Bombyx mori: one gene and its partner. The protein of the gene in region 2 purifies or fractionates together with the protein of the main gene of each other region. This does not show direct contact. Links are inferred from orthologs where the notes say so. Each region holds a gene or a part of one and is shown on either strand. Other genes may lie near its edges. The genes, in order: merlin and protein kibra.

The links.
Region 1: the proteins of protein kibra (region 2) and merlin purify together in Drosophila melanogaster (affinity purification with western blotting; 3 studies listed by BioGRID). This does not show direct contact. The link is inferred for Bombyx mori from reciprocal best matches to the Drosophila melanogaster genes kibra and Mer.

Annotation. Positions count from the first base shown.
Region 1 is NC_085122.1:2,596,339-2,600,167, reverse strand, and holds part of merlin, read left to right. Parts: intron 1-523; coding exon 524-670; intron 671-1,215; coding exon 1,216-1,404; intron 1,405-1,987; coding exon 1,988-2,181; intron 2,182-2,994; coding exon 2,995-3,205; 3' UTR 3,206-3,208; intron 3,209-3,603; exon of another isoform or gene 3,604-3,829. UniProt on the Drosophila melanogaster protein: Regulator of the Hippo/SWH (Sav/Wts/Hpo) signaling pathway, a signaling pathway that plays a pivotal role in organ size control and tumor suppression by restricting proliferation and promoting apoptosis.
Region 2 is NC_085120.1:6,101,919-6,105,747, reverse strand, and holds part of protein kibra, read right to left. Parts: intron 3,151-3,829; coding exon 3,048-3,150; intron 2,488-3,047; coding exon 2,386-2,487; intron 1,317-2,385; coding exon 1,212-1,316; intron 770-1,211; coding exon 652-769; intron 38-651; coding exon 1-37. UniProt on the Drosophila melanogaster protein: Regulator of the Hippo/SWH (Sav/Wts/Hpo) signaling pathway, a signaling pathway that plays a pivotal role in organ size control and tumor suppression by restricting proliferation and promoting apoptosis.

The DNA of each region.
Region 1 (3,829 bases), on a different chromosome or scaffold from region 2:
ATATAGTTACAACGGCTGCCCCGCCCTTCAAACCGAAACGCATTACTGCTTCACGGCAGAAATAGGCGGGGCGGTGGTACCTACCCGTGCGGACTCACAAGAGGTCCTATTTTTGCCGTGACGCAGTAATGCGTTTCGGTTTGAAGGGTGGGGCAGCCATTGTGACTATACTGAGACCTTAGAACTATATCTCAAGGTGGGTGGCGCATTTACGTTGTAGATGTCTATGGGCTCCAGTAACCACTTAACACCAGGTGGGCTGTGAGCTCGTCCACACATCTAAGCAATAAAAAAAAAATAAAAAACCTTCAGCGTGGAAGTCAATCGTGAACATTTGTTGAGTACGTATTTCATTAGAAAAATTGGTACCCGCCTGAGATTGAAACACCAGTGCATCGCACAACACGAATGCACCGTCCGGTCTTATCCATTAGACCAGGACGACTTAAACCAGGTCATAAAATCCCATAAAAAATATATTCACGGAGCAAGATGTTTTAAAATGCAATACCTTCTCATCCAGCGCCGGTCCGAGGAGACGGCAGAACTATTAGCTGAGAAAGGTAGAGTAGCAGAGGAAGAAGCGTCTCTACTCGCGCAGAAGGCGGCGGACGCTGAACGAGAGAACGCTAGACTTAGGCTGTCTGCCATCAAGACTGAAGAGGAAAAGGTACGTTTATTACGACACAGTTAAAGTTCATAATGGCTTGTTTTTTAATCCCTCGATCTCGCGACGATCTGGTTTTATTGTATCTAAGTATTACGAATGTCATAATCTAAAAAAATTCAACATCCGATATTTATTTTGTAATAATAAATGCGCATGCAACTTGATGCCCGTGAAAGAAGTGAAACTTCTTTTGCGGTGTGTAGTATTGTGGTTTTCTTCATTTATCCTACTGGTTTTACAATAATATTGCTTTAAATAAATTCGTCTAGAAATTAGTCTAAAGGACCGCGACAAACAAAACTACAAACGAATAAAGTGAATTATAGAAGTTAAACTTCTTTAGGCGCATTCAGAGTAAAATTTAACCCGCGATAGATTTGCTACGTCCATAGAAAAAATATACAATTTAAGAAGGGCCAGAGCGAGAACATAGATAGAGCGTCTAATTTACGTTGTTCTTACGTTATTAAGTAGCTTCTTAGGCTACCATAGATTAGGTAGGGAGAAAAAAATACTTGTTATATAGCACCCTGGTCTGCGAACAGGTACACTTGGAACGCAAGACCCGCGAGGCGGAGTACCTGACGGCGCGGCTGGTCGAGGAGTCGGAGAAAAGGGCCGCCGAAGCCGAGAGACTGAAGGCGGAACTGCTGACCGCCAGAGTGGCGGAGAAACAAGCCAAAGAGAAACTCCTCAACTTCCTCAGCAGGACGTCGACCGGATCCTTGCCGCAGGTAACCTTGTCTACAGTTTGCAGACGCGGACTCCTTGTGTAAGGTTGACGGGCGCTTTCAATCTGTAGGTCGTGGAATAACGCATTTTCAATTTAAATCTTCGACTACCGTCACATCAGCGAAATATAACGTATATCAATATTTCCTTAGGCTTTTGCAAATCGGCTTAATCTACTTCCTTTAAGAGTTTTATTTTTCATTTTTAAGACAAAGTTAGTTTAGTTTGAAAACCGTATCACGATACCAATCGAGTAATTATTAGATTGTCTTTATTCAATACTAGCTGTACCCGTCCGCTTCGCTGGGCATTTAAAATTGACATTATTATTTCTCACCCTCACAAAGATTCTCATCATTTAACGTCCCCCCAACTGGTGTAGGGAGTCCAAGACTCTTATAAATATTAGCCTATCCATTAAGTACATGTATTTTCTACATGGATACCAAGTTTCAAGTCAATCGGATGCATGGTTCAGTAGTTATAACGGAATATCCGTAAAAACTACTGTAGATTTATATATTAGTATAGATATTTTTTATTAAATGTGTCGAGGTATATAACGGTGTTTCTATATTGACGCAGCAATTTCCGGCGTCGCCGACGGTCCCGTGCAGCCTGTTCCCGTCCACGTGCTCGCTGCCCGCCGAGCTGGGGGGCGAAGGCCTGCAGAACGGCGCGGCCGGCGCCCCGGAGCCCGAGCTCAACTCCTACCAGCTCGTGCCCGACGATTCCGACCCGCACATACACAGGCTCTCGCTGGAAATCGAAAAGGAGAGGTTTGTTACTATATATGTCTCTGAGTATGAGCTTATTTTATAGTTGTCTATGGTGGTGGTATTGTCCTACGGGAACCTCATCAGAGCGATCAATAAAAAATATATATATTTCTGACGGGTAGCCATCACAGAACACAATATATTTGACAGTCATTTTCAAGATAAGCTTGCATATCTCTACTGGTGGTAGGACCTCTTGTGAGTCCGCGCGGGTGGGTACCACCACCCTGCCTATTTCAGCCGTGAAGCAGTAATGCGTTTCGGCTTTAAGGGTGGGACTGGCGTTGTAGATGTCTATGGGTTCCAGTAACCACTTAATATCACCTAACTAAGCAATAAAAAAATATATATACAAGTTCCGAACAACAACATTGGGATCGTCGGTCTACCGAGCAATATCTCCCGCTCGGTGGAAGATCTTCCTGTTATAGTATACCTACATATATCATTCCCCTATATAAATAACAGTAGAATTAATCAGTGTCACTTGAGGTTCGAACCGAGTATGCGAAGTAATGCTTCTAGGCTACACACACACAAAGACATTTTTTTTAATGGGATTTTATGACCTGGTAACTAAGACCTTTAGGTCATATCTTATTTTAATTCATATTCTTAGTTTTATGAAAAAATGATAATATGGAGTGAAATTAAATGAAAATGATTAATTTGAGACATCAATCAACTGGCATGAAATTAAATGAAATGAGATGAGATGATATGGGACACATAAAGACATTCGCAATATTTGAAGTCGCTCGGGGGCTCGCCGGTGTCCGCAGTAGAGGCATGAGGTCCGCGTTGTGCCCACAGGGTGGAGTACCTGGCCAAGTCGAAGCACCTCCAAGCCCAGCTGGAGTCCCTGCGCGGGGAGTTCAGCGTGCTGCGGGGCGAGGGGCGCGGGGAGGGGCGCGGCACGCTGGACCGGCAGCACGCCGCGCGCCCCGACGACAAGTACTCCACGCTGCGCCGCCTGCGGCAGGGCTCCACGGGGCAGCGCCTCGCCTTCTACGAGGATCTGTGAACGGTATGACGTTTAAGTAAGATTAACATTATCGAAGTTAAACTTCGCTGGTCTCGTTAATAATAAAGTGACGTCGAGTTACTGGTGGTAGTAGTTTTTGTGCTTTACTCTGTGTATAATAGTCTGCCGTGAAGCAGTAATGCGTTTCGGTTTGAAGGGTGGGGCAGCCGTGTAACTGTACTGAGATCTTAGAACTTATATCTCAAGGTGGGTGGCGCATTTACGTTGTAGATGTCCATGGGCTCCAGTAACCACTTAACACCAGGTGGGCTGTGAGCTCGTCCACCCATCTAAGCAATAAAAAAAAGCCTTTGCTCGCCCACCTGTCCTGGTGAAACTGGAAAGGCCTCCGGGCCATCAGTAATCATTAAATCCAAAAAAATATCTTTAAATCGCAGGTAGGGTTGCCACGCCGCCTGCTGTCTGGACGTAGTGCTGATTGGGCCCAGGACGCCAATAAAGGGTTCCGTATGTTGGAAAACAATTAACGGGAATATTACGTTTTTTTTTATGAAGAAATGTGCCATTGACAAACTCTTGGGAGATGAGATCGCGCGAGTTGTACCAACAGCATCCCGATGATAATCCATAAATAGTTCAATTCACAAACGCGACAACTAGATA
Region 2 (3,829 bases):
GCAGCCGCCGCCCACCACTAACGCTCCTCTCACGCCACTGCGTATACAATATTACAGGATTATATTTATGAGCTTTACATTTGAGTCGACTATTATCAAAGCCGGCAATGTGACTTTTGGACAATTATTGGTAAATCAGAAAAACGAATTATTGACTTTGTATTCCATTGGCAGTCACAAAACTCTTCTGAACGACATCTTAGATAAATAACAGGTTAAGTATTAACCTTTATTTAATGCAGGTTTTGAACCGTATTCTTTGAAGGAGACGATTATATTCAAATCAATCTGTATTGACATATCAATAACATTTTTTGTCCAAATGCACAGATTGCCACCTTTGATAATAGACGACTTATATATGTAACACAAAAGTATTGTTTTCGTTTACACAGAAAACATTTTATCTGTGTTTTATAATAAAAATAACTTAAACCGATATGGTGAATACTTAAATCAATTATATTTCGATAATATATTAAATTATTAAACAAATCATTAATGTACCTACTGATAACATCCATCTATCCATACTGGTATAATATAATAAATTCAAAAGTTATGTTGCTTATTCGCTATGTTACTGCTACCGAGATAATTATTTACAAATAATATTTTGTTTAAATTAAATTAAATTAGTGTTGCACTCACACTTCGGTTCCCATGTCGATGAAGAGCGCGTGCAGATTCCGAGCCCTCAGTATGCCGATCTCCAACGCAGTCTCGTCGGGACAGTAACGCAATTTGATCTCAATTTGTGCACTGTTCACTGTAAACACGATTTATTTATTAGATTTTATCTGGTGCATAAGGTGCGAAAAGTGTGGTATTCCAACTAACACTTATATATTACAAATCGATCACGAAGAATATATCCATCGACCTTCGCCTATTGGGATCCCGAAGCAAAGAACCCGAAGCAAAGAAATCATTCATTTCGTTTACGCATTGTTAAGATAATATAGAGACGGAATATCAAAATTTAAATAATAAATATTTAAAAACAAACATTACTACCTAAATCTTTCGTAAATTATTTTAATTTACATTCTACAGATATATTTTTTCGCCCTAGTAGGCAGACGAGCGCACGGTCCACCTGATGGTGAGTGGATACCGTCGCCCATGGACAACAGCAATACAAGGGGCAGAGTCGCGCCGCTGCCTACCAATGAAGAGTGTAATGAATCAGAAGTCGTCGTATATGTTACCGGCGTTGGAAGCGTCGGTGGCCGCTTGCGCCGCTTCGAACACCCCCGAGTCTCCCGCCACTGACTCGTCGCTCACCGCAGCCGAGACTGATCTAGTGTTCGTACCTGCGTAGTAGTAAGCTATTAGTTTAGTGGTGGCCTGATATTCCAACCTAAGCAGACGGCTTTGAGAGGCCATTTCAGCGTAACCCTAACAAATAGGTGAGCTCACGGAGCTCAAACCTGACGTGGTTGCTAACATTAACCCTAGGAAGAGCAGTGCTTCGCAGAATCTACCACCGGATCGGAAACGCGACCCACTGAGAAGATCCGGCGAGAAACTCAGTGGGTTATGTCTATGGGTTTTTTCAGTCAAATGCTCCGGTTTGAAGGGCAGCCGTGGTACTACAGAACCGAAGGTTAGAACACGTGAGTGACCACCTAACACCAGCTAAGTCCAGAGCTTGTTCGTCTAAACTATAAAAAACTATACGCAAATAGCGATTTTAATTTTTTTTTTTCGTTTTTTTTTCAATATCCCGATTAATGTTGAAATTTGTATTATGACGTCATTATTTCTTCACTAGACACTACTTTGGTCAACGAGTATTCCTTATACTAAATATATGCTTTATCAATTTTAATGGTTAATAAAGTTTTTTGTTTGCTATTAAGAAATTGGAAGGGACGATTTTTACATACATAGATTTCGTCTAAGCTTTGGAAAGTTTACTGGAATAAATGAAACTAGTTGTTCCCTTGGTAGTGGAAATTCGACTATAGTTAATTGAAATTATAAGCTTCAACATTATTATGGTTCTATAATATTATCAGACTTATTATATTTCTATAATCACAGATTTCGCCAGTACTATTAAAGACAAACAATATTAATCTATTCTCAATTTGACCACAGACTTTAAACAATAACAAAAGTTTGACAATAAACGAAGAGTATTTAAGTGTGTGTCAAATACATGGCAGTGTGTGTCATGTTTCTTTTATTGATTTAATGGATTTTTTTAGGCATAATGAAAAAAAATATTAACATTCTACACTCCTTCTCTATGTTCTCTATAAGTGTGGGAAATTTCATATTCCTCCGTCTTCGCAATTTTCTTAAAAAGGGATACAAAGTTTTTGCTTCACGTATTAATATAATAGATTAAGCAATAGTGAATATTGGTTTATTTACCACTAGACGAGGGAGTCCTTGGAGACAGGGGTGGCGGGGGGGTCTCCGATATGGGAGACAGCGGCTCACAGGGTCGACCCGGACCTTGGAGTTGTACTGGAACTGAACATATTTAAGGTCAAAATTAATTGATTATGCAATTTCGAAAAGGGCACATCTCTGAAAATATAAAAAGTTCAGGAAATGAAAAAAACTGATTATTTTCTAAAGGAGTGTAAAATTTAAAATATTAACTTTTGAGATATATTTTAGTGTTAATTAGCAATTGAAGATTACTGGAATTATTATAAAATGGGTGTAGGTTAGCCTCAAAACTACATGTATATGAAAAAACCATATGTGACTGGTGGTAGGACCTCTTGTGAGTCCGCACGGGTAGGTATCACCACCCCGCCTATTTCTGCCGTGAAGCAGTAATGCGTTTCGGTTTGAAGGGTGGGATAGCCTTTGTAACTATACTGAGACCTTAGAACTTATATCTCAAGGTGGGTGGCGCATTTACCTTGTAGATGTCTATGAGCTCCAGTAACCACTTAACACCAGGTGGGCTGTGAGCTCGTCCACCCATCTAAGCAATAAAAAAAAATTCATCTTTAAGCTGTTCGTAAGTCAACTTCCGCAAACCCAAAAAACCGTTCGATTCTAAGCAACGAAGCACTCACTTGTAGCCAGGCCGGTGACTTCGTCCAGTCCGGTGGCCACGCCTATCCTCATTTCAGCCAGTTTCTCTTCCAGTTCTCGCTGCTGCCGTCTCTGTCTTTCGACCTAAAGGAGGCGCACAATAAAACCTAATTCTTATCCAGCTGTCCATCGGTGACCTCGCGCGTGAAAGCGAACGCCTGTCTGGTTAGCGAACTGACAGCGCCACGAGCCGAGGCGTGGGTTTCGCACGGATCCGATATAGTGACATGCGTTAGATATATATGTACCGATAACGCGACAAGTGGCCGGTACCGTGTGCTTAGTGCGAGTTTCTTAATGTTTTTTAACGTAGCGGTACTGGTGGTAGGACCTCTTGTTAGTCCGAGCGGGTAGGTACCCACCGCCCTGCCTATTTCTGCCGTGAAACAGTAATGCGTTTCGGTCTGAAGAGTAGAGCAGCCGTTGTAACTATACTGAGATTTTAGAAATTATATCTCAAAGTGGGTGGCGCATTTACGTTGTAGATGTCTATGGGCTCCAGTAACCACTTAACACCAGGTGGGCTGTGAGCTCGTCCACCCATCTAAGCAATAAATATAAAAAAAATCTCGATAGCGTAAAAGTTAAGCCAATTTTGTATGCAGTTGGAACATTCCATTCCATACAAATATAAGCTAACTTTTACGCTATCGAGAACGTTAAAAAACTCGCACTAAACACACTGGTTATTTTTTGCGTCGATTTTTCACGAGTACATCTTTACTAGTGGTAGGACGTCTTGTGAGTCCGCACGGGTAGGTAC